Tamandua tetradactyla: one gene and its partners. The protein of the gene in region 1 interacts with the protein of each later gene in a biochemical or structural test. Links are inferred from orthologs where the notes say so. Each region holds a gene or a part of one and is shown in the gene's direction. Other genes may lie near its edges.

Region 1 (7,549 bases):
ATTGACATTAGAGGAGTGAGTCTTAATGAGGACAGGGAAATGAAGAGAAGTATGTGTGTGTGTATGTGTGTGTGTATGTGTGTGGCACTCTTTCTTTAGGGCCCAGCTAAAAGTGTATCTCTCTATCTGACTGAAATGTAAATAACCTTTCCCACTTCCTCTGGACCTCTTGACCCTAGGATTAAGTCTATCAGATATTCAAATAGTTGATGGTGTTTTTTACTGTTTGTTTTAAAATTAGATAATGACTTTGCTTCCAGTCAATCTTGGGCAGCCCTTGGCAATCCTTAGAAAATGTAGTTTTTTAGAGAGGGGAGGGAAAGGTAATTCTAGAATTTCCTAGAATTTGGAAAGCAAGTTAGGCTTGGAAGGGGACTCTAGATAGCAGAGGTCAGCAAGAAGGCACTGGACACCTAAACGCCAAGGCAGTGGTCTCAAACTTGACTGCAGATTAGAACCACCTGCGGGTCTTTTAAAACAACCATCACCCAGGACCACCCACAGATCTTATTCAATCAGAATAGCTGAGTGGTAGCAGAGGTGTGTGACTGTGGGTAGAGTTTGGGCATCAACATTGTTTATAAAGCTCCTCAAGTGACTCTACTGTGCAGTTAGGGTTGAGAATCCTACCAGATTTAGGAGAGGGGATGCTAAGGGAAGAGGAAAAAGCACAGGCATGTGTGGAATATTTCTGGCTTTGGCCTATTTGTTAATCACCAAACGCATACTGGGGGGTGAGGTTTAGAAGAGCAGATTCAAGTGCTTAAAGAAAGGCAAGATCATTATGAGTTGAGGGTTACCTAGAGAAGCGATAATTTGCAGACTGGCAACAAAAAAAGTTAGATAATTCCAATGGTGACAGAGAAGTGACATCCTCCCACACTGCTCATGGAATTGGAGAATGTTATGGCCTTTCTGTACTGTGATTTGGCACCACATAGTCAAATTAGGTATCCTTAGGCTACAAACCAGTAATTATGGTTGTGGGTATAAATTCCCAAAGATACTCTTACTCATGGGACATGTAGGCAGTGGGTCACTACAGTGCTATTTGGGGCAACTGGATTCTGGAGGCTTTGCTGGAGAGTGGATAGGTAAAACTTGGGAGATGTCATCATCAGAATATTAGCAGTTAGAAGCAACAAGTTAGATGTACACATGGAAACACGAAAGGTTTTTTTCTTTTTACTGGGGAAAGGCTTTATTATATTACTTAAGATTTAAATTTAAGATTGGTTTTTATCATGTCTAACTGAACATATGGAACATATGGTGTCCGTAGTTACAATTAGAGGCGGTTTGGATGACATCATTATAAAAAGCTCAGTGTTTTTTTATTTCCAGAATTTTTCTGCCCCTAAAGATTCATGGGAAGATGATCAATATCTTAAGAAGAGAAGAAGCATTCTACCTGCACAAGCATGCCTTGAAGATATTGCCAGTTTGGTTTGTAGACCACTGCAATAAAGCGAATATTGCAATAAAGCAAGTCACATGAATTTTTGGTATTCTAGTGTATATAAAAGTTATGTTTATAAACTGTACTGTAGTCTATAAGTGTGTGGTAGCATTTTGTCTAAAATATCAATGTTTATACCTTAATTAAAAAAAAACTGTAAAAACAAACGAACAAACACATTTATTGTTAAAAATGCTAAACTTGGGGGCAGGGGGTGCAAGGGTAGTTCAGTGGTAGAATTCTCGCCTGCCATGCGGGGGACCAGGGTTTAATTCCCAGCCCATGCACTTCCCGAAAAGCAAACAAACAAGCAAAGAAAGAAAGAAACAAATACCCAACAAATGATGCTGCAATAACTGGATACCCATATGGAAAAAGAATGAAAGGTGATGCCTGCCACACAGCATAACAAAAACAAAACAAAATAAAAAACAAACAAACAAAAAAACCCAGGAAAAATGCTAACCACGATCTGAACCTTTAGTGAATTATAATCCTTTTGCTGGTAGAGAGTCTTGCCTCAATTAATGGCTTCTGACTGATCAGGTTGGTGGTGGTTGAAGATTGGTGTGGCTGTGCCAATTTCTTAAAATAGGACAACAATGAAGTTTGCTACATCAATTGACTCTTCCTTTTACCTTAACTCTTAGAGCACATTGTAGGGTTATTATTTGGTCTAATTTCAATATTGTTGTGTCTCAGGGAATAGGAAGACCATGTTGTTTACCAAGCTAGACTTTCATTAAAATCACAATGGGGTCATCAGGTCTAATGCTTTAGTTCTGGCTGTCGTAGTGAACAGATCTTTCCTGGTGGTGGCTGGTCAGGACATGGAAGTCCGTGCTCCGCCAGGAAAGAGTTTTTGAAAACCATAGGTACAGGGTGCAAAATGTATGAAACAATGAGATACATATAAAACAAAATTACATCTGTGAATTAAAAATATAGCATACAAAGCATCTATTTTGCAAGAACCATATAAACAAACAAAAAGGAAACATTGCCTATGGGGGAGGAAAAAGGGGTAGAACTGAAAGAGATATCTGATATCTATAACTGGTTGAATACGGAAGCTAAAGGACAAGGGTGGGTCAAATAGTACTCTCAGCTCTTAAGCTAGGAGAATGGGAGCAAGGAATCTAGGAGAAGCGATTTTTCATGTTAGAAGTCCAGTTTTCCAGTAAAGTGGAGCTTTAAAAAGGTTCTAATGATTCAGTATTTTCTGTGAGCAACTGTGCCAAAAGCAAGCTCATAGATGCATACTGTTTTCAGTTGGCAGAGAACTTTGTTTTCTAGATGACAAAAGAGAGGGCCAAAGTGGTTTGGTTAATTACCCAAAGTCTACCAATTAACTGATGAAAGTGGGGGCTAGAATCAAGTCTCTCAACTTCCAGTCCAATGATCTTTCCTAAAACCTGAGTTTTCCTTAAAAATTAAGACAGTTCATATTTGGATTTCTGTTTGCCTGACCATGACTGGTTCATTTTAAAGAAGGAGGATTTACTTTTTCTGTGGACTGCCTCTGCCAACTGACTTTCTGCTTAGATTCCCAGCTGGTTGGGCTTTTAAACAAAAACTCTTTGAATTTGCTTTACTAATCCTCATCTGTACCTGCTTGGACAAAGTGAGGATTGTCACTGACCGCCAGCTTCATCAGGCAATGTTTTCATACTCTCGTACAGATAATAAAGTAAAAAAAAGTGACTGTTCAACTTCAGAGGTGTTTTAGTTTTCTAGGCTGCTCAAGGCAAATACCATGGGTTGAGTTAAAAAAAAAATAGGAATTTATTTGCTCACAGTTGAGGCTGGGAAAATGTCCAAATCAAGGTTTCATCAAGGAGATACTTTCTTCTCCAAGATTGACTGCTAGCAATCCTTGGCTCCTCTGCCACTTGGCAAGGCACATGGCGGTGTCTGCTTATTGCTGTCTTCTCTCTTTCCCTGTTTTCAGGTTCTTGCTTCTGTGGTTTTCGCTTTGTCTTGCTTGTGTTTATAAGGGATTCTAATAAGCTTAAGACCAATCCTGAATGAGGTGTGTCACACCTTAACTGAAGAAGCCTCATCAAAAGGCTGTTTACAATGGGTTCACATCACAGGAATGGATTAACTTAAAGAACATATTTTTCTGGAGTACATACAGCTCCAAACCACTACAAAAGTTTTTTTCTTTTTTTTTTTTAAGTGGAGAGTTTAATTCATTTACAAGTAATATTGAAAATGTAGGACTTGAGCTATTTTGCTATTTGGCTTTTGTAAGTCTTATACCTCTTTTGTCCTTCAATTTTTCCATTAGTTGCCTACTTTTGTATTTAGTTGATCTTTTGTAGTGACCCATTTAGAATCCCTTCTCATTTCCTTCTGTGCATACTTCTTAGATATTTTCTTTGTGGTTTCAATGGGGCTTAAATTTGACTTACCTGAGCTCTAAACACCAGAGAATTTTCTCATTTGAGTTCTGCCTGGCCCTGTCTTGTTGTGAGAGAGACTAGGTTCCTCGGAGAGGTGTGGAGTGACAGTTTGGGTAGACTTTTAAATTTAGTAGTGGGTTGGAGGTGCTGCCAGGTGCCCATAGAGCCAGCAATTCTGGGTCTCAATCCCTCCTGCAGAAGTGAGATATATGAAATTTGGGTTTGACCAGCTCTCCACATTGAAAGTTAGAGAGGTCCTAGCACCCCCGAGTCTTGTAACATTTTTTCCCAGTATGTGGGTTACTGGTGAGGCTCTTTCTGGCCACCATCTTGATGGCAAATGCTAAGCAAGCCGCCACCGGCGTCGCACGTTAACCACGGAGATAATCTGTGCATCCTCCCGTTTTCTATCCTAGAGGCTGTGAACTACAATTCCCATCAGCCGTTTTTCCCTAGTTGACCACGAGTTGTCTAAACTTTGCTTATCGACAAAGGCAAACCTGCGGCAATGAACAGCGGGAGTCGGGACTCTTGGTTGCCTCACTTACTGCAGCGGGAAGCTCCAGAACTACAAATCCCTTGAGCCACAGGGTTTACGCATGCGCACAGCACAAGCGGGGGGGGTCCCTGACCCCCCCCACGCCGGTGCCTAAGAGGTAAGAGAGGGCGGGGGAAGGAAGAGGAGGCGGGATCCGGGCGCTGCGTTGGCTGAGGCCTGGCACTAAGGGGGCGGCCCCGGTTGAGAGCAGACCCAGCGGCCCCGGGAGATTATGGACCCGGCCGAGGCGGTGCTGCAGGAGAAAGCGCTCAAGTTTATGGTGAGGAGGAGGGGCCGGCCGGGGAACAGTGGAAGCGGTGGCGTTGGTGGCGTCGCTAGGAGTCGGGCCTGGGCCGCCCGCCGTCCGGGGGAAGGGACCCGGGCACTCCGAGCCTAGGCCGGCAGCCGAAGCGGCTGGAGGGCCGGGACCGGAGCTCCGGGGAGGCGGGAGGGGGTTGCGGAGCAGACCCGGGGGTGGGGGCAGCAGCTCCGCCATCTTGTGGATGAGAGGCCGAGTGACAGCGGGGAGCTTAATCGGGGAGGGGGCTCCGGGCCGCGCGCGGGGCCCTGGAGGGAAAGGGGCGTGGGGACAGTTACTGAAGAGCGGAGAAAGCTCGGAGGATAGACTCTGCGTGGCCGCTGGCAGGGCCTTCCCGGTGTCAGGGTCACGGATAAGGCCCAGGAAAGAAGGTACATTCCAGCGTGGGGAAGCGGAGCGCGGGTGGGTGGGAGGACAGATATTGAGGGTAGGTGGAAAATGGGCAGACCTAGATGAAGATGGATCTAAGGGTGGAGGAGGGAAACCAGGGCTGTTGGGAGGCGTGTAGAATTGTAGAATGAAGTGGGAGATAGCATTTGCCCTGAGGCTAAATCTTATCTTAAGCCAAACTAGTGTTGACAAACTCTGGAAAGGAGGAGGCCTTATTTAGGAAGATAAGGATGGAGATGGTGACCTAGGGCGATGATAACAGCCCTTGGGAAAGGAGGGTGGTGTTGACTGTGGGCCAAATTACAAATGACAGGAAAAGGGGTATATACTCAGAAAGGAAAGGCTGTATATATAATATTATATATATTAGGAATAAGGTGATGAAAAGCAAGAGGCTGATTTGTCAGGGAAATATGGGTATAGGAGATTGGGGGAAAATTAAGATCTAATAAGGTAAAACAAAACTTAGAGCTAAATTGTGGAGGTAGTGAACTGTAGGGGTGGGGACCTGTACGATGTTCTGGGAAAGGAAAGGGCATGTAGATTAGAATTGCAAAGACTCCTAAGAAGCAATGAGAAGAGTGGAGAAATTCAGAAAATGAAAGTGGGGTTGTAGGTAGTAGAGAATGGGAGGTAAATCAGGATGGGGGGTTGGTTACCCATCAGTTTTAGGTTGAAGCACAATGTTTGCATGGATTGGATTTTGTGGGTGTGCTGGAAACTCTTGCTTTAGAGCCGATTTCTTTAACTTTGTATCATGCTTTTCTTTTTCTATGCTTATGTTTGGGAAATTTGTGTAGTCTGATATTTGATGCTTTTAATCTGATACTTCTTGTATATCCTAAGTGTAAAGCCAGACTTGATGGTTTCAGCTAGAGTGAGGGGATACATAGATTTCTAGTTTAGCAGGTGGCTTTAGGGACATGGGTGTCATTTGCAGTCAAGTCTTACTTTTTCAAAAGTAATTGTAACCTGCACTCCAAACCTTATTCCTTTGTTAGATAGTTTCTATTTTGTACCCTTGCTGGAAATAGTATAACAACTTCAAATCTAAATAAACATGTATCACTAACCTGGATTGAATTTAGGCTTTAAACTGCCCCATTTACAAAAATGTTGTTCAAGAGACTGGTCCAGTTTACAAAGTCTTTGTGTTAGGTCTTTCAGAAACACCTGATTAAAGTTTGACTATCAAAAACAAGAATACATTAAGCTTGAAGAAGGTTCTTGAATTTCTGCCCAATGTTGAAGAGAAACTTGAAATTTTTTTGGACTTTAGTAGAGGAAATTGCTTGATTTCGTTACCCAGCTTCTAGATTTATTTTCAGTTAGAAAAGTGGCAGATGCTTACTTTTGTTTCCCTGCTTAGAGGGTTGACTCTTAATCTTCATCCTGACACTGTGTCACATTTATGGAATAATGTGATTTATAGATCATAAAGAGACATTATGAGATCATTTTCTTAACTTCCCATTAGACCTCAGCCTATGAACATTCTCAACTGCTTGATTTCTGTTTTGTACCAGTGAGACATGTTTCCATAATGGGCTCGTGATTGAATTATATTGGACCTGGAAATGGCCATGTCGTAGTTCACAGCTTTTGGGGTACCATACATTATTAAATGTTGAGTCAGTTTCCATAGGGAGAAATCAGTTTTTCTTTAATTTGACTTTCATTTTTTATCTTACTTGTCACTGTGGCTGTTGTTTGAGAAAAGGCCAACTTGAAGAGGGTAACCAAAAATGACACCTTAATAACTGAAGCAGACCTCGGAGAACCAGAGATACGGTCTTCTCTTTCAGCTCAGTAACGCTCTAATTATGAATCTGAGTAAGTCCATTTGGTCCCATCCACCCTGCTATAACATGCTTGTTTATTCAGAATGAATTTTGAGATAGGAAGATAATTTATTTGCGCTTGCCCCAAGCAATTAGTATACAGTACATATGGAAAGGTTAGCCTTTTAATCAAATTGGAATTTTTGTGTAGTATTTGACTTTGTTCTGGCTGCTATCCTTTCCCTCAATTGTGAATTACTGATCATAACTTTTGTACAAATGCCTTGATTTCTCTAGTTTAGAAAGATGTAAAATTTGTTTAAAATGTCAATAGGAAATGAATACTCTCTTTGACGAATTTTAGTCATGACCACATTAATGTAGTGCTTTGTTTAGGAATTTTACAATAAAATCTTATTATGAGACTACTAATCCATAGTGGGCTGTTTAAGTCACATATGATCTAGACTTAAAGCTTATCCTTATCTACTTGTGAAAAATACTTTAAGCAGGGGTGCATGGGTAGCTTAGTGGTTAGAATGCCCACCTTTCATGTGGGAGACCCGGGTTCAAGTCCCGGACCATGCACCACCCCCTAAAAAAAAAAAGCTTTAAGCAGAATATTAGGGTCTAAAAACAAATAAATCATATTAA
Region 2 (7,238 bases), on another chromosome or scaffold:
AATTTGTGGGTCATGACTCACTAGTGGGTCATAACATTAATTTTAGTGGCTCGTGTTTTTTTTTTAAAGTGAAACAATAAAACAGGAAATAGTATATTACATGTAGCATGAGTAATTTATTTGTTGAGAATCTTTTGAGATGTGAGTTGCTTGTGTGCTCTGGCTATGGCTCCAAAGACCCTGCTTTAAGCAACGGAGAGTCCTTGAAACAGAGGGTGGAGGAGGAGATCAGATTTGCATTTAGAAAGAACACTAGGGTTTTAGAGCTCAATGGAAGACTTAGGAGTCTGCTGATACAATGAGGAAGAGGAAGGGTAGATGGAGGTACTATATCCTCTCATGGGGACAGTGAAGGATAATGGGTTTGGAAGGAAAGAGAAATCGATTTACAACAAGTAGAGCTTGAGTTGCCAGTGGGTCATTCTGGGTGGATTCAGAGAAGGAGCTGGGGTTGAGGAGGGAGACTTCAATTGAGTATAAAGACTTGGGAGTTCTCTGGGATGAGGGAGAAAGGTACAGAAGTACTGGGGGTAGGTGAGATGTCTAGGAAGCACTCATGAAGGAATGTGGGCTATCCTAGAGCAAACACTTAGACATGAGATAGGATGTAGCCTGTGATCCAAATATAATCTGACAAAGCTCGTTATTCAGCATAACCCAGGGCAAATTCTAATTATGTTTTAGAACCATGTAATCTCTGGGTTGCTTTTTTTTTTTTTTTTTAAACTCTCTGGGGTTTGATGACCTTAAAGCTCATGTAGGTCAGTGGTTCAAATCTGTTCAAATCTGTTTCAGAACAATTCAGACAGCTTTCTGAACATATGGATTCCAGGGACCCACATCAGGCCAAATCAAAATATCTGAGACACCGGAGGATCTATATTTCAGAAAAAGCCCTCCACACACACACACCCCAAATTGGTAGTCATTAAAAAAAGAACTCTACCTGCTGATATTGAACTATACCCAAGATACACAAAGTAAAAAAGAGTGAGGTTCAGGATAGTTTATAATAAGCTATTATGCATGTAAAAATAAACTGTGTGGAGAATATGTACCTATACTTGTTAGCATAAGCACAGGCTCTAAGGGATAAAAAAAAATTGACTGCAGCGCTGACCTATGGGGAGGAGACAGGGCTGAGGACAGGGAGGAGAGGGAGACATTTTACCCTAGGCCTTTGTTTGGTATCACCTGGATTTGTACATTGTAAATGGATTACTTACTCAATAAATAAATAATTGCATAAAAGCTAAAGTTCCCCAGATGATTCTGATGTAGGATCAATATTCGAGAAAACCTAACTGTAGGTATCCCTCCTCACTCTGCAACATCTAGGACAGTGGACATACAGCCTCCTGGATTGCTCATTTCACTTTGGAAAGCTCTGTTAGTTCTGACTTGACTTCTTGGTGCTGATTTTAAACCTTCTAGCCTCCAAGGAGGCTCATGCTGAACCGTAACCATGCAGAAAAATTCCAATCTTGCTACCAGCAGAGTTGTGTGAAAGAAGAATGGGCATGTGTAAAATACTGAATCAGAGAAAGGATGTTTATTTCTCTACAGAAAATAAGTCTTATAAATTGATGGAAAAAGTGCTTTTTGTTTGTTTGTCTGTTTAGCACTGGGAATACCTATTTCAAATAAACTATACACGGCATTGCAATATACAATGCAGATTAAAAGGCCAAGCTGCTATGGTATGACAGGGAGCAACCCCTGATTGAATAAGGAGTCTGGAGCCCTGCTGGGCTTAGTGGTTCAAGACACAATTGTGGTCCATCTCTCATATCACCCGCATGAAGGCATTAACCCCTCCCCAGTTCAAGTTACCATTCTATTTTACAAGGACTGTTGGGAATCCTTTCCACACTCTACCTTTGCCCTTTTTTAATCCATTCTCCACTCCCAGGGTTATCTTTTTAAAATGTAAATGCAAACCTTTTGATCTTTTTCCCATTGCTCTTGGGGCAATGTCCAAATTCCAAAATGTGGCCTATAAATCTTGCCCACTTTTCCAACTTCCTCTCTTCCACTTGCTCTCTGCCAAAGCCACACTCAAGGGGCTCCTTACAGCCTCAGGGCCTTTACATAGGGCCTGCTCCTCTGCTCAGAAAGTTCTTTCCCCCATGAAGACTTATCCTTCTGATCAATTCCTCAGGGATTCTCTGACACATCAGACTAGATCAGATTCCCTCTCAGACACCCTCAAAGCACTCACACTTTGTCTTTGTAGCACTTAATCAGCATGTACTGAGGGGTCCCCTGATGCAGGCATGGCCTGAGGTGCTGCAGATACTACAGTAGGGAAAAGGAAAGGTAGGGTCTCTGCCCCTACTGAGTTTCTAATCAATTGGGAGTACTCAACCCAATAAAATAATCATAGAAACAAATGTAAAGGTGTGAGGAGTGCTCTTCAGGAATGGAACAAGGAGCCTAGAGGGTGGAGATAACAGAAGAATCTATCAGTCAGGGCAGAGCTTACCTGAGAAGGGGAAGGAGGCAAGGAGGGCCTTTCACTCCTGTATTTGACCACGAAATAAATACCAGTTGTACATTTACAGTGAATGTACACACACAAAAAAAGTTGAAAATGTTGACAGCTTTCTTTAGAAGTGGTAAGATTACAGATGATTTTTTAAATTATGCTTATTTTCTAATTCAATCATGATTTTGCATTATTTGCAAAAGTTGAAAAGTTTTTTAAAATAAATCTTTAATTGTAGTTCTTGAGCAGAGGTAATGGGCATCATCTGTACCAGACATTAAAATCCCCTACACAAATATGCAATCCCAAATAAGCAGATGTGCTCTAAAAATGCTGTCTCAAGACAAGTTCTTCCGCACTTGATTAATGCACATTTATTAAAACCATTCTAGGTACCACCGCTGGTGTAGCGGCCATAAAAATAAATACGGTCACCTATAAAGTGGCATAATGATTCCTATCTCACAGAGTTGTTTTAAAGTCGAAATGAATAGAGGAAAAGCATTGGAACAGTACCTGGTACACAATAAGCACTATATAAGCACTAGCTATTATTACTTTTACTAGTATTGCTATTTACCAGCTCTCATTTGGTAAAAAAGGGCTAAGGATAAAAAAATTACTCTAAGAGAACACAGAAGGCTTATAATGCTGAGGCCTGCAGCCCAGTGTGGTCGAAAACCTTTCAGATGAAGCTGACATCTGCAAAATCATGGTGGTTGAGGGGGTTCCTAGCACCAGAAAGTGAGGGAATGAGGCCTGTTTTAGAGTTGCTCTATCAATTTTAGTTCAGTCACTCAATTCCCTCCCTTGTTATAAAGCTGGGACACAGCGGCGCCTGAGGAAAGGAAAGAGGTCGAGTAAGGCTGGGTCTTGCCTAGTCGGCCAGACCTCCAGAAGCTCTGGTCTGATTTCTCTAGCCTCTACATTCCCCCGGGGCGTGGGGTGCGGGGCGGGGGCCAGGGACAAGGTCGACGCGGCCTAACGAGGTTAAAAGATACAGGACTGCCGCGCGGGCCGTGAAAGGACGCTGTTGGGCCGGAGGGGCCAGGAAGAACTACACTTCCCAGCATTCAACTCGGCCGGCGCCTCGCAGAACCTGTTGGGAGTTTTCATTGACCTTTGCTCCCCCTCTCGTTTCAACCCGCCCCGGTCTCCTCTGGGCCCCGCCCCTTTCTGAGAGCGGGTGACCTCGCAAAGCCCCGCGACCTGCTTCCTTCCTCCCCTTTCATTGGTCCAACCTAGCTGCCAATCGAGAGCAAGAAGGAGAAGTTATTTACTGATTGGTGGATACCGTTTGGCGCCAACTAGGAAAGGGAGGCGGGGCAGCGGCAGACCCCAGAGAGCAGCTACTACTGCGAAAGGCATCCTCCTCTGTGGCAGTCCCGGTAGGAGGTGAAGGTCTGCTTCTTGTTTAGTGACTCCGGGTTGGGCAAGGGTGTGAGGAAAAAAGAGTAGTGTGTGAGCCCAGGCCGTTGCCTCGCGGCTCTCTCTCGCCCTCCCTTTCCGACACGCAGCGTTTGTTTGAATTTAATCTTAAGATTGCCGGCGCCCGCCCGCCCGCCGGCCTCGCGGAGTAAGGTTGGGGACACCCGTGCTTGTAGCTGGCACCTGCCTGGTCCAGACACCCGCCCGGCCGCGCCGCTTGCCGGCGGCTGGCGGCCTCCCTGAACCGTAGGGTCGTGTTTGTGTTTGACCCACAAGTGCCGGCGGCGGGTCGCGCGGCGGAGGCCGGTGCCGGCGGGGCGAGGCGGGCGCGGTGGAGGCGGAGGAAAAGGGAGCCCTGGGGAGTCTGGGCGCCGCCATGGAACTGGGCCCGGAGCCCCCGCACCGTCGCCGTCTGCTCTTCGCCTGCAGCTCCCCTCCAGCACCTCCGCCTGTAGTGAAGGCGCTCTTCGGTACGCCTGCCGCCGGAGGGCTGTCGCCTGTCACCAACCTGACGGTCACCATGGACCAACTGCAGGGGCTGGGCAGGTGAGCAGGGGACCAGCGAGCAGCACCCTAGGCTGCGGGCCTGTCGGGCGGCCCTCGGGGAGATTAGCTGGAAGAGAGGCGCGATCAGCCCTCCTGGGTTCGCCGCTCCGGGGCGGCAGGGCCTAGCTCCGGTCCCGCCATGTGCACTCTCCCCACGGGCGGAATGTTGGGCGGGAGAAGCCGTTCGGACCCTCCAGGGATCCCCTGAGCCCTGAGCCAGGCCCGGTAAGGGGTGGGGAAGCCCCGGCCTTCGCTACCTCTTTTTGGTTACCCTGTACCCCGCTTCTCTTACCTCCCTATTTCAGAAAGCTCTTTGGAACCTTTCCCGAAGGGGCAAAAGCATGCCCTCCTGGGCGCCACTTCCACCGTTTGCTGAACCTCGCAGGATCTTAGTTTCCTGTGAGCTTTGTTCCTTCCCAACAAAGGGACCTGGCATTTTCTTTCCTGGAGTTGGTGCAACATCATCGCAGTTCTTGTCCCATGCGCATTCTTGATGGTCACTCCTTTGCTTTCCAAGGCCAGGCTTTTACCCAACCTCTTCACTGAAAACTCCCGGGATTTTCCTTATAGACCAAAAAAAAAGGGCCCAACAGTGTTTCTGGTGAAGCTGCTTTTTCTCCAGTCTTGGGCACCCTTCTTTCTGTCTAAATACACGTCTTGTTAGCTTCGCAGTCTTTGAAAAGCAAGAACTCTGTCCTATTCCTTTTTAATCCCTACTCCTAGTACAGTGCTTAGAACGCATGTTCTCATTTCAGGAACTATTCCAGCGTTTGTTGTAGTCATATCATACGGTGTGGTCCATATGCACCCACAGCTTTCTACGTTCCTTTTATGCTCAAATGCAAACTTGGTGCTCTGCGTGGAAAAATAGGATCCATGTGGTGTCATGCAAGTAATGGTGGTTCGTGACAGTCTGGGCATTTGCTAATCTTGTGGCCTGCCCCTTGTATTTAATCTTTAATTAATTCCTAGAAATAGTTCATGTAGAATGATTTTATCTTGGTTGCAGTGAGTATGAACAACCTGTGGAGGTGAAGAACAGTAGCAGTCTGCAGAGAATGGGCTCCTCCGAGTCAACAGATTCAGGTATTCTTTCAGCCTTCAGCAAGCATCGTGTGTATGCTTGGGGGTGTGGGGAGATAGATGGTGAGCAACACAGGGGGTTTGCTGAAACAATGATCTTTTACCAAGGGACTTCGCAAATGGTATTAAGAACAATTTGAAGGAACCCCTGTGTCAGTTCATAATGAGAGAAAACAAGTTTAAGTGTTTGCAAGCAATAGGTGTGGCTGGGTCTTCAAAGATGAATAATATGAGCACTGTACCACTCTAAGTGACATTTAGAAAATCTCATTGATTAAAATGTGGGATTGGGCAGTGCAACTGTAGCTCAGTGTCAGAATTCTCACCTGCCATGCCAGAGATCCAGGTTCGATTCCCAGAGCCTGTCCATGATCCCCGCCCCCCCCCCAAATGTGGTATCAAATTATTGGAAGTAAAATGAAATGGAGTGAGTTTGCTCTGGAGGAAAGGTGCCAGTAATACGTTTGGTGTTACTCTGGGATTTATCTATATCTGCACAGACAAGAACATTTGGGGCACAGCTTTAGGTTAGAGGACTCAAGAGCAAATGTCTTTAAATGTAGGGTTCTTGAGAACTGGGGAAAGAATTATTTGTGGCAGTGGGGCAAGCAAGAATACCAATCAGGAGTTGACACCTAGTTTTCCTATGAGACTTAGATGTCAGCAGGGACAGAGGTGTGCACTAAGCAGGCACTGTTGGGTTTTGGCCATTCTGAGACTGGCACATGGTAACATGAGTAGGGTCTTCTTTGCCCTACTGTCCTTGGGGAGATGGACATCCTCCTCAGTGCCATTCTGTTGAAATACATGCCTTATGTGTCATATGACTTATGATTTATATTTTCCACACCAAATTTATGCATGCGATCTGACAAGATAAAATATTCAAAATAAAAAAAATATCCAGAGAAATCTGCCAATTATTTTTTCTATGGTTGGAACTCAGGGAAATTTACCTGGGTCACCTTTATCTGAATACTAAGCAGTCATGATGTGAATTAGTTTAACTCACCTCCTCAACTCCTATTTCCCATCATGGTAATTGCAAGTAGAAGAGAATCAGTAGATAAACTCCAGTCAAATAAACTGGGCTTCAATTCTGGCAAAAGTACAGTTTGAGGGTTTTTGTTGACTGAATTAAGAAACCAGATTTATTTATTTTAATGATAAAATAGTGTTTCATGTATGATTTCCTGGGATTTAAACACTTTGAAAGCATAAGAGACAATATTTGAAGTGGAAAAGTGAGATTCAGCAGGTAAATGGAAGCTCCTGTCAAAGGAATGAGGAATGTTTATAGAGTAACTTGAGTTGCAGAGATTGATGGCAAATACAAGCACTTTTTTTTTTTTAATTTCCCACAGGCTTCTGTCTGGATTCTCCTGGGCCCTTGGACAGTAAAGAAAAGTATGTATTCACTGCTTTTAAATGTTTGTGCTTAGGAAAAAGTTTTTTTTTTAATTTGTAAATGAAATTCTCACTCTCTGGCCTGGAGCCCTGGATTGAGCAGTCCCTATCAGATTTCCAGATCCTATAAACAGTCTGGTATCTTTTGAGGAGTGATTTATGTCAACAATTTACAGAACCATCCCTCCTTTATTTTAGCTTGTAATTCTGGTATTCTGATCAGGTCTCACCCAAACCCCTTCACTCTATGTCGTCATAGCCTTGAAAACATTTGTGTTTTAAGAGA
Region 3 (7,563 bases), on another chromosome or scaffold:
TGTGTTCGCCATGTGCCCTTCCAGATGAGAGAGGAACCCTGACTGTGTTCACCATGTGCCTTCTCACTTGAGAGAGAAACCCTGAACTTCATTGGCCTTCTTGAACCAAGGTATCTTTCCCTAGATGCCTTAGATTGGACATTTCTATAGACTTGTTTTAATTGGGACATTTTCTCAGACTTGAAACTGTAAACTAGCAACTTATTAAATTCCCCTTTTTAAAAGCCATTCTGTTTCTGGTATATTGCATTCCAGCAACTAGCAAACTAGAACACCATCTAAAATGGCATTACACCCCTTAGGCCCCCCCTTTAACCACCTTTAAAAGTACTCACCAAAACTTGCAACATTATTTGTGTATTACCTAATTGTTTTTGTCAGTTTTTGCATCAGCCACTAGAATGTACGTTCAAATAGTGCATGGTTCAATCACTTCTGTCTCATACTATTATTATTTTGGGAACTTAGCACAGGACCGTCACAAACACTCAATAAATATGTGTTTAAAGAAGGAATGAATGAATGGGTCTTTTCCAAGAGCACAGAAAGGCTGGGAGAAAAAAGTAAACAAATAATTGCAGTATAGTGTGGTGTATGTGGGTTGTTATGATAGGAACAGCATGCTGCAGTACATTAGGAAAAATAGAGCATGGTGATTCAGAGCAGTCACCCTGAAGAAGGATGGCTGAGGTTCAACTGCAGGTTCTATGTTTACTAGTTGTGTGACATTGGGCAACTTTCCTTACCTCTTTAAGCTTTGGTTTACTCATTGGTAAAATAGAGATTCTAGTAACAGCCATGTCATTGGTTTAATGAGGATTTAAAGGGACAATGCATGTAAAATGTCTGTGCCATAGTGATGCTCAGCAAATGCCAGTTATAATCATTAGAAGAAATGTGTGGCCCCTTAAGAGCAGTGCCCAAATCTTACACAGTTGGTGTCATGTTGAATGAATGAAAAAAAATTGGCTTCTTAGAATCATTCTGTAAAGCCAAAATCAACATTTCTAAAGCAAATACCAATACCCTCCCTCCATTTATCTTGCCAAGATTTCCATATTTTTTCTATCTGGAAGAAAGGAAATAGATTGTTCAGGAGCACCCTGCTTAGAGAGTAGCAGGTGATGCAACAGACTGGGCCTAGGCATCTAACTAAAACATCAGTTACCACCAGAGGGCACCAGCCAGTGAAGTCAATCTATTTATGTCTTAAATCTATGGCATTACGAGATGAGAAAGCTCTAAGAGGCTGTTTCTGCCATTCATCCTTTTGATAAATGTTTTGAGCCCCTACTATATGCCAAGCAGTGTAGTAGCTCGCATATGGTTATGAATAAGACCTGTTATCCTTATGGAATTTCTAACCTTGAGCACCTTTTATGTGCCCAAGAGATCATATTAGGCATGGGAGTGGGAGTTCAATTTGTTACTTTTTTTGTTACTGATTGTCTTCCTGCCTTTGGCTGTGAGTCCATGAGAACAATTACTTTAGTGTCTAATTGTGTTTGACAGTGTGTTGGTTGCTGAGGATATATAGATGAATAAGACACAGTTGCAGTCTACTAATGAACAATGTCTTATGTGCTACAATAAAATGACATGAAACTGGTTCTGTGGAATTCCAGTTCTTCTGACCTAAGGATGGAAAGTCTCGAGTACACAGTTCACTAATCAACTAGGCTGTGAGTCTCCCAGACAAATGAGTTTGTCAGCTACCCAACTTTGGGTGATGCCCAAATGGATGTTTAATATGAGTCTGCCAGTTGATGTGAGCTAAAGGAGCAGTTTTAGGTCTGGATGCCAAATATATATTCAAGTGGGTTAGGCTAGGGATTCACCATCCTTTGGATTAGGGTGGAGCTGTGACGAATTTATGTGGGTGAAATGCTTTGAAGATGAAGTTTCTGCCTATTTGTCTGTTCAGAGCCTTGTTATTAAAGGTGTCAACATTACCTCCCACATTTCCGGGTCAGCAAACTTCTTGTACCCAAAGTGAGGGGGAGGGGAAGCCAGAACCAGTCATACAATATCATTTTTGTGAGAAGGAGCTACATTGACTCGAGTTTTCTGCCTTTTCTGAGGGGAGCTCTAAGTTCGGTTGTGTTTGGTGCCAAGACCTAGGGGAGTGGTTGGGGTCTAGAGAATTATCCTTTAATTAAAATACTGAGACCCCCATCTTTGAGAAAAATGAACAAAAAAATGAATGGGATCCTTTAAATGTTGGGCTGCACATAGTGACTTCCTTCCAAAGGGTATCGTATAGAAAGGAGAAAAAAGTAGACTTTTTTTTTTCTCAAAGGAGAAGCTTGACAAATACCAGTCAGATGATCAAGGTGAATGCTGTGACAAATCATATTGATAGTATGTACCTTTGATATGATATGATGTGATGAAAATGGCACTTTATCATTGTGATCTTCATCCCAGAGATACATAACTGTAGTCTAATTAGGAGAAAAATGTCACACAAATCCCAATTGAGGGCCAGTCTACAAAATACCTCACCAATATTCCTGAAAACTGTCAAGGTCATAAAAAACAAGGAAAGTCTGAGAAATTGCAACAGCCCAAAGGAAGGCGCCTAAAGAGACACGATAATTAAATGTGATGTGGTGTCCTAGATAGGATCTGGAACAGAAAAAGGACATTAGGTAAAAACTAAGGAAAGCTGAATAATGTATGGATTTTAGTTAATAATGATGTTCATTAATTGTAATAAATGTACCATATTAGTGTAAGATATTAATAATGGGGGAAACTGGATGACGTTTATGGGAATTCTCTGTACTATTTCTCATTGGTAAATCTAAAACTTTAAAAAGTCTATTTTTAAAACAAAACAAAGGAAGTGGTGTTCAGAATACAACTGTGACGCTTAATTTTTTTCTTTCTTTCAAGGTCCTATTTATGGATCATTTACGACGTCAGTCATTATGCTAAACGCTGTACATAAATCTCTTTTGATCATCACAATTGCTTGTTAGGTATAATTAACCTCCTTTAGAGACGCTGATGATACAGAGGTAATGTAAATGATGGAGCCAGGGCTGGAACCAAGACTTCAGATAGTAAAATTCTGAGTGTGTGGAGCCCTCACAGTATCCCGGCTTTTCTAGGAAACATCTAGGCAAATTTAATAGAAAGTGCCTTTCTAAAGAAAGGGGTATACAAAAATCAAGGGCACTGAAGACTGTCCTCACATCTCACCTCAATCATGATTATCTTAAAAGCCCGTCACTTCCAGGTTGGATTTTGAAGCTGAAAGGGGTCAAAGTCAGAACATGGTATTTTACAAATGGGCAAACTGAGGGGCAGTGAGAATACTTGCCCCAAAGTACACAGAAAATGATCAGGAACCGAGGTTCAGCCTCTAGCACTATTTTTCTCTCTCTTTTTAACCCCCCTTCAACTTCCTCTTTGTAGTTAAGAAGGGAAGTAGGAGCTATCTGTCTTCCTCAATTTCTCGGGTCGGAAACTCTCCCTCCCCCAGGTAAGTGACTTGCCCAAGGACCCTCCGGCATGAGGACCGAAAGTTCGTGCCGGGGAGACGTGGTGAAGTTGATGTCATCACAATACCCACATTCAAAGCACATCCTTCTCAATCACCTACTGGGTGTAGGGCCCGCATACTGAGGGCCTCGGGGAGGGCCTGCGGGGTCCCTGGACTCGTCAGGGAATGTGTGCGGAGGCCGAACGTTCTCGTCGGTACCTAGTAGGAGGGCGCTGATAGCTCTTGGATCTGAGGTCCCTTTGCGGGAGCGCCTGTGGAACCCCGGCGTTGAGCTTCACTACCTTGATTTTATGGCCAACGTTGTCCCTTGCGGCCACCCTAGGCCCCCACCCGCGGCCAACGTCACAAAGCGCCGCCACGGCGCGGGGCTGTGGAGGAGGCGGGGATCTGGGAGGAGGAGGGCGAGGAGGGCAGGGAGGGCGGGGGAGGGAGGGGCGCGCGCACGCGCGTCGGGCCGCCAGCCGCTGCGAGCCACCCTCTCCGGGCGCGCGCCCCTCCTCCCTCCCTGCTTCTTCTGGGCTCTGTCGCTCCCGCGGCGCGAGGCGCTCTTGCTTCTCTCCTCCTCCGTCGCCCCTCCCCCCGCGCAGCCGCCGCCACCGCGAGACCCTCGCGTGCCGCCCTCCCCCTCCCACCTGGGCCCCGGCAGACCCCCTGGAGAACGAGAGGGCGAGCGAGCGCCGCGTTCCCGGGCCAGCACCCTCCCCTCACCGTCGCCAGCCCTCCACCGCCTTCCTCCGCCTCCACCTCCTCGACCCCCCCCCCCCCCAGCTGAGGCCCCCTCGGGGGGGGGAGGCCCCAGACCCGGAGCGAATTCCCCCTAACTCCCTCGACCCCTCCCCCCCGCCCGTCCAAGTGTGAGGAGAAGGGCCCGGCCCGGCCCGCGTCGCGTGTGAGGAGGACTCCGGACCGGCCCGCGGGCCGTCTGGGGCCTGGTCCGGCCCGCCGGGTGTGTGAAGACAGGGGCCCGGCGCGGCCCGGCCCGAGGGCAAGCGGAGGGGAGGGGCCTGCTCCGGCCCGGCGGGTGCGTGAGGACTGGGGCCCGGGCCGGTGCCACCGCCGCGATGGCCCAGCAGCAGATGACCAGCTCGCAGAAGGCCCTGATGCTCGAGCTGAAATCCCTGCAGGAGGAACCGGTGGAGGGCTTCCGGATCACCCTGGTGGATGAGTCCGACCTCTACAACTGGGAGGTGGCCATCTTCGGACCCCCCAACACCCTCTACGAAGGCGGCTACTTCAAGGTACCTTTCCCCCTTCCCGGACCTGGCTTTCCCCGGCCGAGTCTTCTGCTCCTCGTTCGGTTTCATCTGTTTTCGGGGCTAGAAGTGGGAGCGCGTGTGAGTGGAGGGGGCTCCTCACCTCGGCAGCCCCCTCCCCCCATCCGTGGAGGCAGGAAGGCCTTGCTCACGAAGTGCCTTTTCTTTGTCATGGGGGCGGGGGCGGGAGGGGAGGCCAGACTGCGCTGGGAAATAGAAAAAGTCTCTTTTTGGCTAGGGTAGTAGAGAACGGAGAAGGAGGGCTGTCTTTGTTTCCCCAGCTGAGGGTGTATGGAAAGAAAGGTAGTTTGTCTTTTCTATCTCCTTCTCCCATCAGAATCATCCCTGCGTAGGCTGGAACTGCCCCAGAGGGCAGGGTGACCTGCACTTATTGGGTTTTTCTTTTTTTGGGGTGCGGGTGGGGGTGGGGACATTAGCCTGTCATCCCAGAGGCTGTCTAGTGACCTGACATTTTGAGGATTTGTTGGGATTCTTGGCTATTGGTAGTTCCAAGTTTGCATTCCAGTGGGCGGTAATGAAGAATAGGACCCTGGGGGTGGTGGGGAAAAAAAGGGTGCCTACGTTTTCTTGCCATTATCCAGTTGAGGGAACTTTATCTAGACCTTTTTCTGACCTGGTTCTCTATTTACTTCAGTAGTGTTTCGAAATGCCCTTTGTCCTCCCCCTGCCACCAACTTTACTGGCATTTTTTTCTATATGTACAGGAGTGGAGACAAAATTGAAACCTTTTACTCAGGTAGTTAACTCTAGCAAATGGGGTGATCTCACAGTAGAAAATTATCTTTGGAGGTGAGGTGGTTTCACAGGGTGGGTTGGCTCCTTATACAGCCAACAAAGAAGTTGTCTGTTCTCTATGATTTAGAACAGTGGTTATGATCATTCCTGAATCTAGTGTTTTTGTTTTTACTCTTAATATAGGTATCTTGAAGATACTAAATTTTTATTTTATTTTAGAGTTTTTGGCGAGACAATCACAAATTGAAGATTTGAATGTTTTAATTGACAGGAAATGAGTGCTTAGGAATTCATTTAATTTAGTTTTTTTATTTCCAAAATTAAGTAAAATAGATCAGTGAGTCAGTTTTAGTTTGTTTTGAAGGGAGGGACTATCTTGGCACAGGTTTTAAATGAGTATCTTAGTCATGTAGTTATGATGTGTATTTTTAGGACTACCCAATTACTTAACTCTTGTTTTCTACCCTTCTAAAGGTAGAAGCCTCAGTTTCAGGCTTGAAATTCTGTCCACTTTTGTAGACCCTTTGAAGGATTGATGCCATAATGTCTAATATTCATGCCTGTGGTGATGATTCAACAACCTAGTAAGAGCAGATTTTTAGAGTACTGTGTAAGAGAGGTATCCTTACCAACTGTGCTTTGTGGTTAGCGTGCAGCATTCTTTTCACATACAGATATTCAAAATCACTAAGTAAATATACAAGTTGTTTGTGATAGATTGAAGAAGGGTAGTCCTGTGTCCATGTTGAGGCCTCATTTTACTACTGTTATTAAATATAAATATAAATTTTTGTTTATGGATACTGGAAAATTATTTACACAAAATGGAATTTATTTGACAATTTTTCTAGCAAAATTATTTAGCAAAATCTACTGACTAACTTTAGCAGAATAAAGATTAATTTCTTAAAAAGTATCATAGTTTGGGACAGTTGACAGTCAAATAAATAGGTGCTAGTTAGAATAATTGCTCTAATGCTGTTTGTTTAAAAAAGTGTGAAAGAAAATAATAGGCTATAAATTATAGTAGATTAGATAAATTTTGCCTAAATTACTAGGGAAGGAGTATGGAGAAACCTGGCAGTTCAGAATAGATTGTATGGAAGAAAGATTCCTTAGAACAGTCATTGATTTAAATTAAACACTTTTAGTGCTGCTTAAAAAAAAGATTTAATCTCAATTTCATTGTATGTGTTAGATTTCCTAATCTTTCAGGTTTTCTTTACCTTTAATTCTGATATGTGAAAAAAAAATTCTTTAAAAAAATTCTTGAAGTTGTCATGTTTTAGTGTTTGAGAAGTTTGTTCAATTAATTGTATTTTCTTCTATTATTTTCCTCATTGATTGCCCTTTTATCCCATTAGCCCTTTATAATAAAGAGGAGTTAACACAGGTGATAGGTTTAAAACCATTGTTTAGTAGTTCACTACTTTTGACTCAAAACAAAACTTGCCCTGCTATTGCACTACAGCTGCAATTAAAAAGTTGGCACAGAGCTTTCCCTGCCATTATTCTCTTCCCTTATCAAATGTTAGTCCTTTAACATTTAGTATAATTTATTTTTAACTTAAATGCTTCTGTATTTTGCATAATAATTTGTGAAGGCTATGGAACTGTCATTCTTTAAGTTTTCCATATAACAGTACTTTTATATACCAGTAGACTACTAATTGATCTTTTTCCCCATGAAATAGTTGACTCTAGTTTGTTTTAACTAGAAGTTCTGTTGTGGAGACTTGTGAGACATGTATTTCACAATTTTTAAAAATTCATTCTGCTTTTTTTTTTTTTTTAATAATTCTAATCCTTGTGATTCTTAGTTTTGGGGTTATGAATGTGTGTTGGGTAAGGTAGTTTCTTGTGTCTATTCTGCACATATGAAAATATTTTTTGATTTTGCTCTCTTTTTGTCCACTTAATCTTATTGACCTTCTGAATTTCTTTGCTGCTTGGAATTTTTCCTCTAGGGGTCATTTGTGTACAAAAGACAAAGTAGGAGATGGTTTAGAACACTGAGAAAATCCCTGAACTTGATTTTGCTAC
Region 4 (7,635 bases), on another chromosome or scaffold:
GATCATTCTGTTCTACATATATAATCAGTAATTCACAATATCATCACATAGTTGCATATTCATCATCATGATAATTTCTTAGAACATTTGCATCTATTCAGAAAAAGAAATAAAATGAAAACAGAAAAAAATATTTATACATAGCATACTCCCCTTACCCCTCCCTTTCATTGATCACTAGCATTTCAACCTAAATTATTTTAACATTTGTTTCCCCTATTATTTATTTTTATTCCATATATTCTACTCATCTATTGACAAAGTAGATAAAAGGAGCATCAGACACAAGGTTTTCACAATCATACAGTCACATTGTGAAAACTATATCATTATACAATCATCTTCAAGAAACATGGCTACTGGAACACAGCTCTACATTTTTAGGCAGTTCCCTCCAGCCTCTCCATTACATCTTAGTTAACAAGGTGATATCTACTTAATATGTAAGAATAACCTCCAGGATAACCTCTCGACTCTGTTTGGAATCTCTCAGCCATTGGCACTTTGTCTCATTTCACTCTTCCCCCTTTTGGTCCAGAAGGTTTTCTCAATCCCTTGATGCTGGGTCTCAGCTCATTCTAGGATTTCTGTCCCACGTTGCCAGGAAGGTCCACACCCCTTGGAGTTATGTCCCACATAGACAGGGGGAGGGCAGTGAGTTTGCCTGTTGTGTTGGCTAGAGTGAGAGGCCACATCTGAGCAACAAAAGAGGTTCTCTTGGGGGTAACTCTTAGGCCTAATTTAAGTAGGCTTGACCTATCCTTCGTGGGGTTAAGTTTCATATGAACAACCCCTAAGACTGTGGGCTCAGCCTATAGCTTTGATTGTTCACACCTCTTGTAAGAATATCAAGAATTCTACTTGGGGAAGTTGAATTTTCCCCCATTCTCACCATTCCCCAAAGGGGACTTTGCAAATACTTTTTTAGAAGAACTGAAATTTGACCATGATTGAAAAATAAATAAATAAATAAGCCATCAGAGTAGGCTTTTGCTTAGAGAAAATGACTATTTTTCCAGAATCAAAAGTGTAAACTAGAAAAATTTCAGCTTTGGGTAAAGCTTGGCTAATCTTATGAAACATTCCTACACACTCTACAGCACTACAAAAAATTAGTTCCTAGTTTTGAAGGATCTTTCATTCAAAAGTACAAGGTTTATGTTAATGAATATATACACATGTATATTTTACTTTTTATGTACATGTATTCATGTGTTGTATAAAAAGTATTTGAGAGGATGATTTAGGAATCTTACTTATAAATCTTCAGAGTAGGAATCTTGCTCCTCTTGCTGCTAAGTAGGTTAAACAGGCTGACAATAGTGATAGTAAAGTCTTTTACTTGCTAAGTCATCTGTCTAAAGAGAATAAACAGGTTTAGTTGGTTCTCCCAAGAGCTCCAGGCAAGAATTTTTACTCAGTTATCACATTACCACAAGTGAGTGGATTCTGCAAAAGTTGCCTAGCAACATTACATTAAAAACAACAGTGGGCAGTGGGCGGGGAAAGAAACTTGAAATTAGAGATGCCTGGGGGCAGGTGGGTGTAACCCATCTCTCCAGTACAGTGAGTCCTGTACTGGAAGAGCCTGAAATTAAAAAATAAGAACAGTCATTTAAAAGTTTCAGTTAGAACAATGCTTCAATTAAACCATAACATTGTGCCATTTTCTCAGCTTGGAGGAGGCAGGGCCTGATTTCTTACTCATTTTGGCACTTTTGTTTTAAAGATAAGTAGATTTTTATTCAATGATCCAGACATGTTTATTAAAGCAACATCTTAGGGGACCAGATTTTTTATTCAGTTATACAGAAACATTTATTAAGCACCATCTCAGGGGTCAAGGTACAGTGCTGATTGCTGGAGCTCTAAAGACAAATACAACTTGGTCTGGCCTGGAGTGGGAAGGAATCCAGACAAGTAAACAAAGAAAGAGTGTTACAAGGTCCATGCCCGGTGAGGTGGAAAGTCTGGAACAGGGAATATCAATTTTACCTGGAAGTGGACAGAGTCAAGGACAGGTTTCATAGAGGAGCTGGCTCTAGCACTGAGTCTTGTTTCAACTTTTAGTCCTTCTTTTCCCTAGTCATTCCACATATTTGTTGAGAACTTAGCTTTCCCATTGTGTGTGAGAACCTGGCTGCCAAGAATTCAAAGTACTGGAACTGTGGACCAAGAGCTCTTCTCTTCCAATCCGGAACCCAGGGCTTTTAACCCAGAACCTCAAAGACCTCTCAGTTTAGGGAAGCCAATAGGTGGGAAAGAATTGACCAAAACAAAAAAACAAAAACAAACTGCTTAAAAGTGTTTACCTGCAGGGAAAGGATTTAGGCTGAGGGCTGGCTGGGGATTGAAGGGGTAGGTAGGGAACTTCTGTGCCATTTGAATTTATATTATTTGAGAGAAAACGAAATTTTAAAAAAGACCACGGAGGAAAAAAATGAGTCATGTGATGTGTACTAACCTCTACAAACTATTATCGAATAGAAGAGTAATCTTCTGTTCAAAATCTTAAATAAGCATGACAGGCTAACATGTCATTCAGAAACAAATGATTCAAATATTTAAGTAAAGGCTCTATTCATCACTCAGTAGATAATGTGCACCTAAAACCATCAGAATACTGCAACAAACAAGATAGAAAAGGTCCATATCTTTAGGTATTTGGTTTTCTAGAAAGGGATAGTAATAAACAACCCAAATAACTTTTAAAATATAGGCCTGTTAAGGAAATAAAGCAAGATGAGAAAGAGTGACTGGGGGGGGGGGGGGTGGGACTTGTTAAGATTGCAGGGTTAGCAATAGGGGATCCAGAATTCTCACACAGAAGGGGCTTGGGAGTAGCAATCCAGTTGGGGGAGATGTCTAAAGGGCTTTAAAGTTCAAATTTTACAAGGAAGCACGTTATTTTTACATTCAAGTTTCAGATCAATTTTAAAAAATAGAAGTTTCTATAATCATTTTTATTTACACTTCATATAAAACTGAGAAAACATCAGATACCCAAATCAAAGAACAGTGTTTGTCATCTAGGCTGACAGGAGGAAAGGGTTAAAGGGAAGGTGCTAAAAACCACTTCATGGCTTTCCTTGAAATGAACCAAAGTGTAGCATTCTTGTCCTCCAAGAGCTTAAAATCCAGTTTGGAATAACATACAAAAAGGACACAATTATACATCAGTTAGCAAATGTTTGGAGAAGATAGATGCAGGCCTTTCACTGTGTCTTCAGTTATGTGAGCTCAGGGAATTTTCCCATGTGGTAAGTGTTAAGTACTGACCACTGTTTTCCTTAAAAAAAAAAATCAAGCTTGAGTTTAACCTTTGCAAAGTGCTAAAATAACATACATGGCCAAGTGTTAATATCCATAAAATGCTACGATAAGAAAAAGAGACAATAGAAATAAGTGTAAATGACTACTAAGCCCATGTAAACTGTCCAACAAATCAAAACAAATCTACCCACCCACTTATACCCAGAACTCACAGCCTGAGAATGTAAGTTGTTTTTTTCTGGAGGGCAGTTGGGCAGTTTATATTCTTTGACCAGTAACTTTCACTTCTGGGAATTTATTGTAAAAAAAAAAAATAATTAGAAAACAAACAATCCGGAGGGGGGAAAACCCACGTGTAAAAGGAAGAATATTCACCAGTTATTTCCAACTGAAAATTTGCAAGAAACTTTTATATGTGGCAATGAGGGACTGATTAAACCATAATATGACAGAGAACTAGGGGAATTTTTTCTCTAGTTATGTTTAAGTTTGCGGTGAGTTAGGCCAATCTTTTTTTTTTTTAATGCCAACACTTGCCCACCTACTGGCGAACAAATATAAACACATACAAACGTGGCAGACATTTGGCTCTGCGCTGGGGCCGACCGTGGCGCTGTTTATATTTACCGTGGATAAGTGAGTGGCGGAGGGGACCACGGGCTGGGGGAGTTCACCTAGCTACATACACGCTCGACCCTAACAAACATACACCGGGGAAACTGAGGCTCAGAAGCGGCCACCACAGCCAGTGTTCCCGCCTCAAGAACTCGCGTGTTCTTGCTGAATTTGGGTGTCCGTCCTAACCGCATCGGTTCACACAGTTCAGAAAGTTACTGAGGCCGAAGACGCCATTCCGGGTTCAGACCACGACCAAGAAGCGTGACCGTCTAGACTCCCGCCCACAACGCCCATCAGCCGTCACCAGGGCGGCAGGCCGGCCCCCGGGGCTGCGCCCGAGCTGCAAGGCCGCCGATGACCGACCCGGTTCGCAAGAACCCTGACGCACTCCCGCGTCGCCGGTCCCTTCAATCCCCCGGGCCCCGGCGGAGCAGCGAGGAGGCGCTTCTAGTCCCGCGTCCGGAACGGGCTTGGCGAACGAAGCTCCTTTCGCTTCTTTCTGGAGGCCGCTTCCGCTCCCGGTTGTTGCTTGGTCTGGGCGGCGCCCGCCGGGCCCCCGGCACCCCGGCCTCGCTCATAGGCCGCCGCGCTGCGGCCCGCCCAAAGCCCAGCCTGAAGCCAAGTGGGAGGCGGAGCTAGCGGGTTCGCGCCAAAATCGCGTAGCTGGCCCCACCCCCACGGGCTACGTCGCGCCCTCCTTTTTTTTCAAACCCGGGCCTGGGCGGGGATTGGTGGATTGGGAACTCACGTGGTTAACGGTCGCGGGAAGCCGCGGAGCCCGAACCTGCGGCTGGACCTGCGGAGACCCCAGCCTTGGTGCCTGTGTCCCGCTTGTGCTGGACTGTCCACGCCGCCACCAACCGACACCATCGCCCGCAGCCGGAGCGCCCCGGAGCCGCAGACCCCAGCAGCGCGGACTCGCAACAGCAGCGACCGGGCGCACCCAGTCGCACGTGGCGGACCCGCCCCCTAGGCCGGCTGTGTCCTGGACTCTGCAGGCCCCGGCTCTCCGGCCCTCGGCCCAGGCCCCAGGAGCGCTATGAGCTTCCTGAGTCGGCAGCAGCCGCCACCGCCCCGCCGCGCCGGGGTCTCCTGCACCTTGCGACAGAAGCTGATCTTCTCGCCCTGCAGCGACTGTGAAGAGGAGGAGGAGGAAGAAGAGGAGGAGGGCAGCGGCCACAGCACCGGGGAGGACTCAGCCTTTCAGGAGCCTGATTCGCCGCTGCCGCCCGCGCGGAGCCCCACGGAGGCCGGGCCCGAACTCCACCGCTCCCCCGGCCCGGCCCCCGGCAGCCCCGGGGAGCTGGAGGAGGACATGCTGCTACAGGGCGCCTCCCCAGGAGCGGACGCGGCGGGCGGCGGGGCCGAGGGCGACTCGTGGGAAGAGGAGGGCTTTGGCTCCTCGTCGCCGGTCAAGTCGCCGGCGGCCGCCTACTTCCTAGTCAGCTCGTTCTCCCCGGTGCGCTGCGGCGGTCCAGGGGATGCGTCCCCGCGGGGCTGCGGGGCGCGCCGGGCAGGCGATGGCCCCTGCTCGCCGGCGCCCGACTATCCCGGCACCCCTCCGCACAAGACCTTCCGCAAGCTGCGGCTCTTCGACACGCCGCACACCCCCAAGGTGAGAGCACTGGGCGGGTGGGGCCTAGCCGACCGACCTGGGCGCCCGGGTCCCGCGCAGGCCGAGCCTTTTAAAAAGGCCGCGGCGCCAGGAGCGGAGCTGGGCGCTGTCTGGGTTCAGTTACATAACCTCCCGGCCGCACCCCCGCTCCCTTTCCTGCGCCGCAGCACGAAGTTGGCAGCCCCTCTTTTGGGCCCTGCCCAGAAGTTGTCCGTTAAGATTATGTAACTGAACAATGAGCCTCGTCTGGAACTTCTTCATCCTTCAAAGGGGCTGATCGGCGCCGTCCAGGTGGCTGAGGATTTAACGCCCTTTGAGCGTGTCAGCCTGGAGTGTGGCACCGATAACGTGGTTTGGAACGGGTGCTGGCGCCGTGCTGGCCTGGCCACCTGACACTCCCGAGCGCCGCGGCCATATGGTGCCTTTTAAACGCACTGGTCTGCCCTGTAATTTGGGCGGCGAGCGCAGAAGGAATTCGATTTTAAGAAATCTTCATTCGCTTATCGTTTCATGTCCTGGGAGGGGGAGTTTGAAGTATGAAGGGAGACTGTGCCTTGACTTGGCAGAAGAGGCTGACGCATTTAAAGTGTTAAAAGACTCATTAAAAAACCGCAACGTAGCATTTCACTCTCTTTCCCGACGTGATGTTGGAAAAGCGTTTGTTTATACCCTTGGGTTCCTATTGCCCACGTTTGATTGGCCTGCGTGTGATGATCAGTAACTTCCAACTCCTAAAAGCCGGCGGTAGTATTGTTGCTTGAGCCCTTTTGCGTTTATACAAATCATAATTTATCTTGAAGAAGTAGGTGTTTGTGAAGCGGCCAGTGTGTGTGCCGATTACCGTTTTTAAAACAGTTCTTAAAACAAAAAGACACTTATTAGGGTAAGTTTCGCATTTGTAAGATTAATATGGAAAATGTACCTTTTCAAGTGAGTCACTCAATTTTGTGTCTGATATACGGGTAGTCACAAACCTCAGGAATAACGTGTACTTTGAGTTTAACTGTTTATTAGCCGACTAGCTCAAGGCAAAATCCCCTTGAAAGTGAGGGGAGGAGTCGAGCAGTGGAGGAATTCGAGGCCTTATTTAGATGGGGGAGGGGAGCTTTTATGGGGCTCCCTGACTGCTTTCTATTTTTAGACATTGAGAGAGTTTAATTTTTAGTTACTGGAATGAACTTAATTTTAGTCAGCACTCAGTTTCTTTGTAGGATTGGAAACCGACTTTACTTTCCTATCCCTTTCAGAAAAGGCGGTTATTTTTCAACCTAAGTTAGCCAGTGTTTATTTTGCCTGAAAAATAAATATAACAAAGACTTGTGTGTTACTTTGACCTCCACATTCAGTCATGTGAAAGGCTTGTTGAAGGGTAGGTTGGGAAGCCTGACTGTATAGGACTTGAAGCCTAAAAAATTTTTTTATATTTCCTTCCCTAGAGTTTGCTCTCCAAAGCTCGAGGAATTGATTCCAGCTCTGTTAAACACCGGGGTGGTTCTCTATTCATGAATTCAGAAAAATCAGGAAGAAGGGAATTTGACATGCGGCAGACTCCTCAAGTCAACATTAATCCTTTTACTCCAGATTCTGTGTTGCTTCATTCTTCAGGACAGTGTCGTCGAAGAAAGAGAACATATTGGAATGAGTAGGTCCTTTCTTATTATTCAGCAGTTTGGTTCCTCAAACCACCTAAGATTTTCAAACTCATCACAATTTAATTTCAACTGAATGGCATGAAGTTTGTACACTGAAATTTTTTCTATTACTAGTATGTAATTCTCAGAGTTGAGGTAGAAATAATCAACTGTGGAAAAGGATTGGTGTGAGAAAGGAAGATATAAAAAGTCTAGATAGCTTGTAGAAATCTACTTGTGTCAAAAATGAGAGAAAGGCAGCAGGCAAGCAGATTTGACTTAGAAAGGCTTTAACTTTGATGAGTGGTGGTTTTGATGTGTGATTGGTTTTTAACCAACCAGTTACCTTCTGGTTGGTAGTGAGCAAATCAGCAGGGAAAACGTTTTCATCAGCTGGGTTGAATCTTGTGATTGTAAAAATAACTGCTTTTTCTGCCTTTATCCCATTGAAATTCCATTTCACTATACATTTCTCAGATGAAACTTTGGATCTGTCAG

The links.
Region 2: of the proteins of BTRC (region 1) and CDC25A, one has a biochemical effect on the other in vitro, tested with the Homo sapiens proteins (3 studies listed by BioGRID and IntAct, with this or other methods). The link is inferred for Tamandua tetradactyla from reciprocal best matches to the Homo sapiens genes BTRC and CDC25A.
Region 3: the proteins of BTRC (region 1) and UBE2R2 form a complex in vitro, tested with the Homo sapiens proteins (2 studies listed by BioGRID). The link is inferred for Tamandua tetradactyla from reciprocal best matches to the Homo sapiens genes BTRC and UBE2R2.
Region 4: of the proteins of BTRC (region 1) and WEE1, one has a biochemical effect on the other in vitro, tested with the Homo sapiens proteins (2 studies listed by BioGRID, with this or other methods). The link is inferred for Tamandua tetradactyla from reciprocal best matches to the Homo sapiens genes BTRC and WEE1.

The regions. Positions count from the first base shown.
Region 1 is NC_135339.1:62,880,813-62,888,361, forward strand, and holds the start of BTRC (F-box/WD repeat-containing protein 1A), read left to right. Parts: upstream 1-4,530; 5' UTR 4,531-4,637; coding exon 4,638-4,685; intron 4,686-4,964; exon of another isoform or gene 4,965-5,095; intron 5,096-5,779; exon of another isoform or gene 5,780-6,937; coding exon of another isoform or gene 6,938-6,947; intron 6,948-7,549. UniProt on the Homo sapiens protein: Substrate recognition component of a SCF (SKP1-CUL1-F-box protein) E3 ubiquitin-protein ligase complex which mediates the ubiquitination and subsequent proteasomal degradation of target proteins. Recognizes and binds to phosphorylated target proteins.
Region 2 is NC_135341.1:38,163,581-38,170,818, forward strand, and holds the start of CDC25A (M-phase inducer phosphatase 1), read left to right. Parts: upstream 1-4,238; 5' UTR 4,239-4,292; coding exon 4,293-4,462; intron 4,463-5,471; coding exon 5,472-5,548; intron 5,549-6,909; coding exon 6,910-6,952; intron 6,953-7,238. UniProt on the Homo sapiens protein: Tyrosine protein phosphatase which functions as a dosage-dependent inducer of mitotic progression. Directly dephosphorylates CDK1 and stimulates its kinase activity. Also dephosphorylates CDK2 in complex with cyclin-E, in vitro.
Region 3 is NC_135328.1:62,250,054-62,257,616, reverse strand, and holds the start of UBE2R2 (ubiquitin-conjugating enzyme E2 R2), read left to right. Parts: upstream 1-4,554; 5' UTR 4,555-4,572; coding exon 4,573-4,749; intron 4,750-7,563. UniProt on the Homo sapiens protein: E2 ubiquitin-conjugating enzyme that accepts ubiquitin from an E1 ubiquitin-activating protein, and catalyzes its covalent attachment to other proteins by an E3 ubiquitin-protein ligase complex.
Region 4 is NC_135334.1:84,082,892-84,090,526, forward strand, and holds the start of WEE1 (wee1-like protein kinase), read left to right. Parts: upstream 1-4,633; 5' UTR 4,634-4,930; coding exon 4,931-5,506; intron 5,507-5,667; exon of another isoform or gene 5,668-5,797; intron 5,798-5,824; exon of another isoform or gene 5,825-6,389; intron 6,390-6,942; coding exon 6,943-7,148; intron 7,149-7,635. UniProt on the Homo sapiens protein: Acts as a negative regulator of entry into mitosis (G2 to M transition) by protecting the nucleus from cytoplasmically activated cyclin B1-complexed CDK1 before the onset of mitosis by mediating phosphorylation of CDK1 on 'Tyr-15'.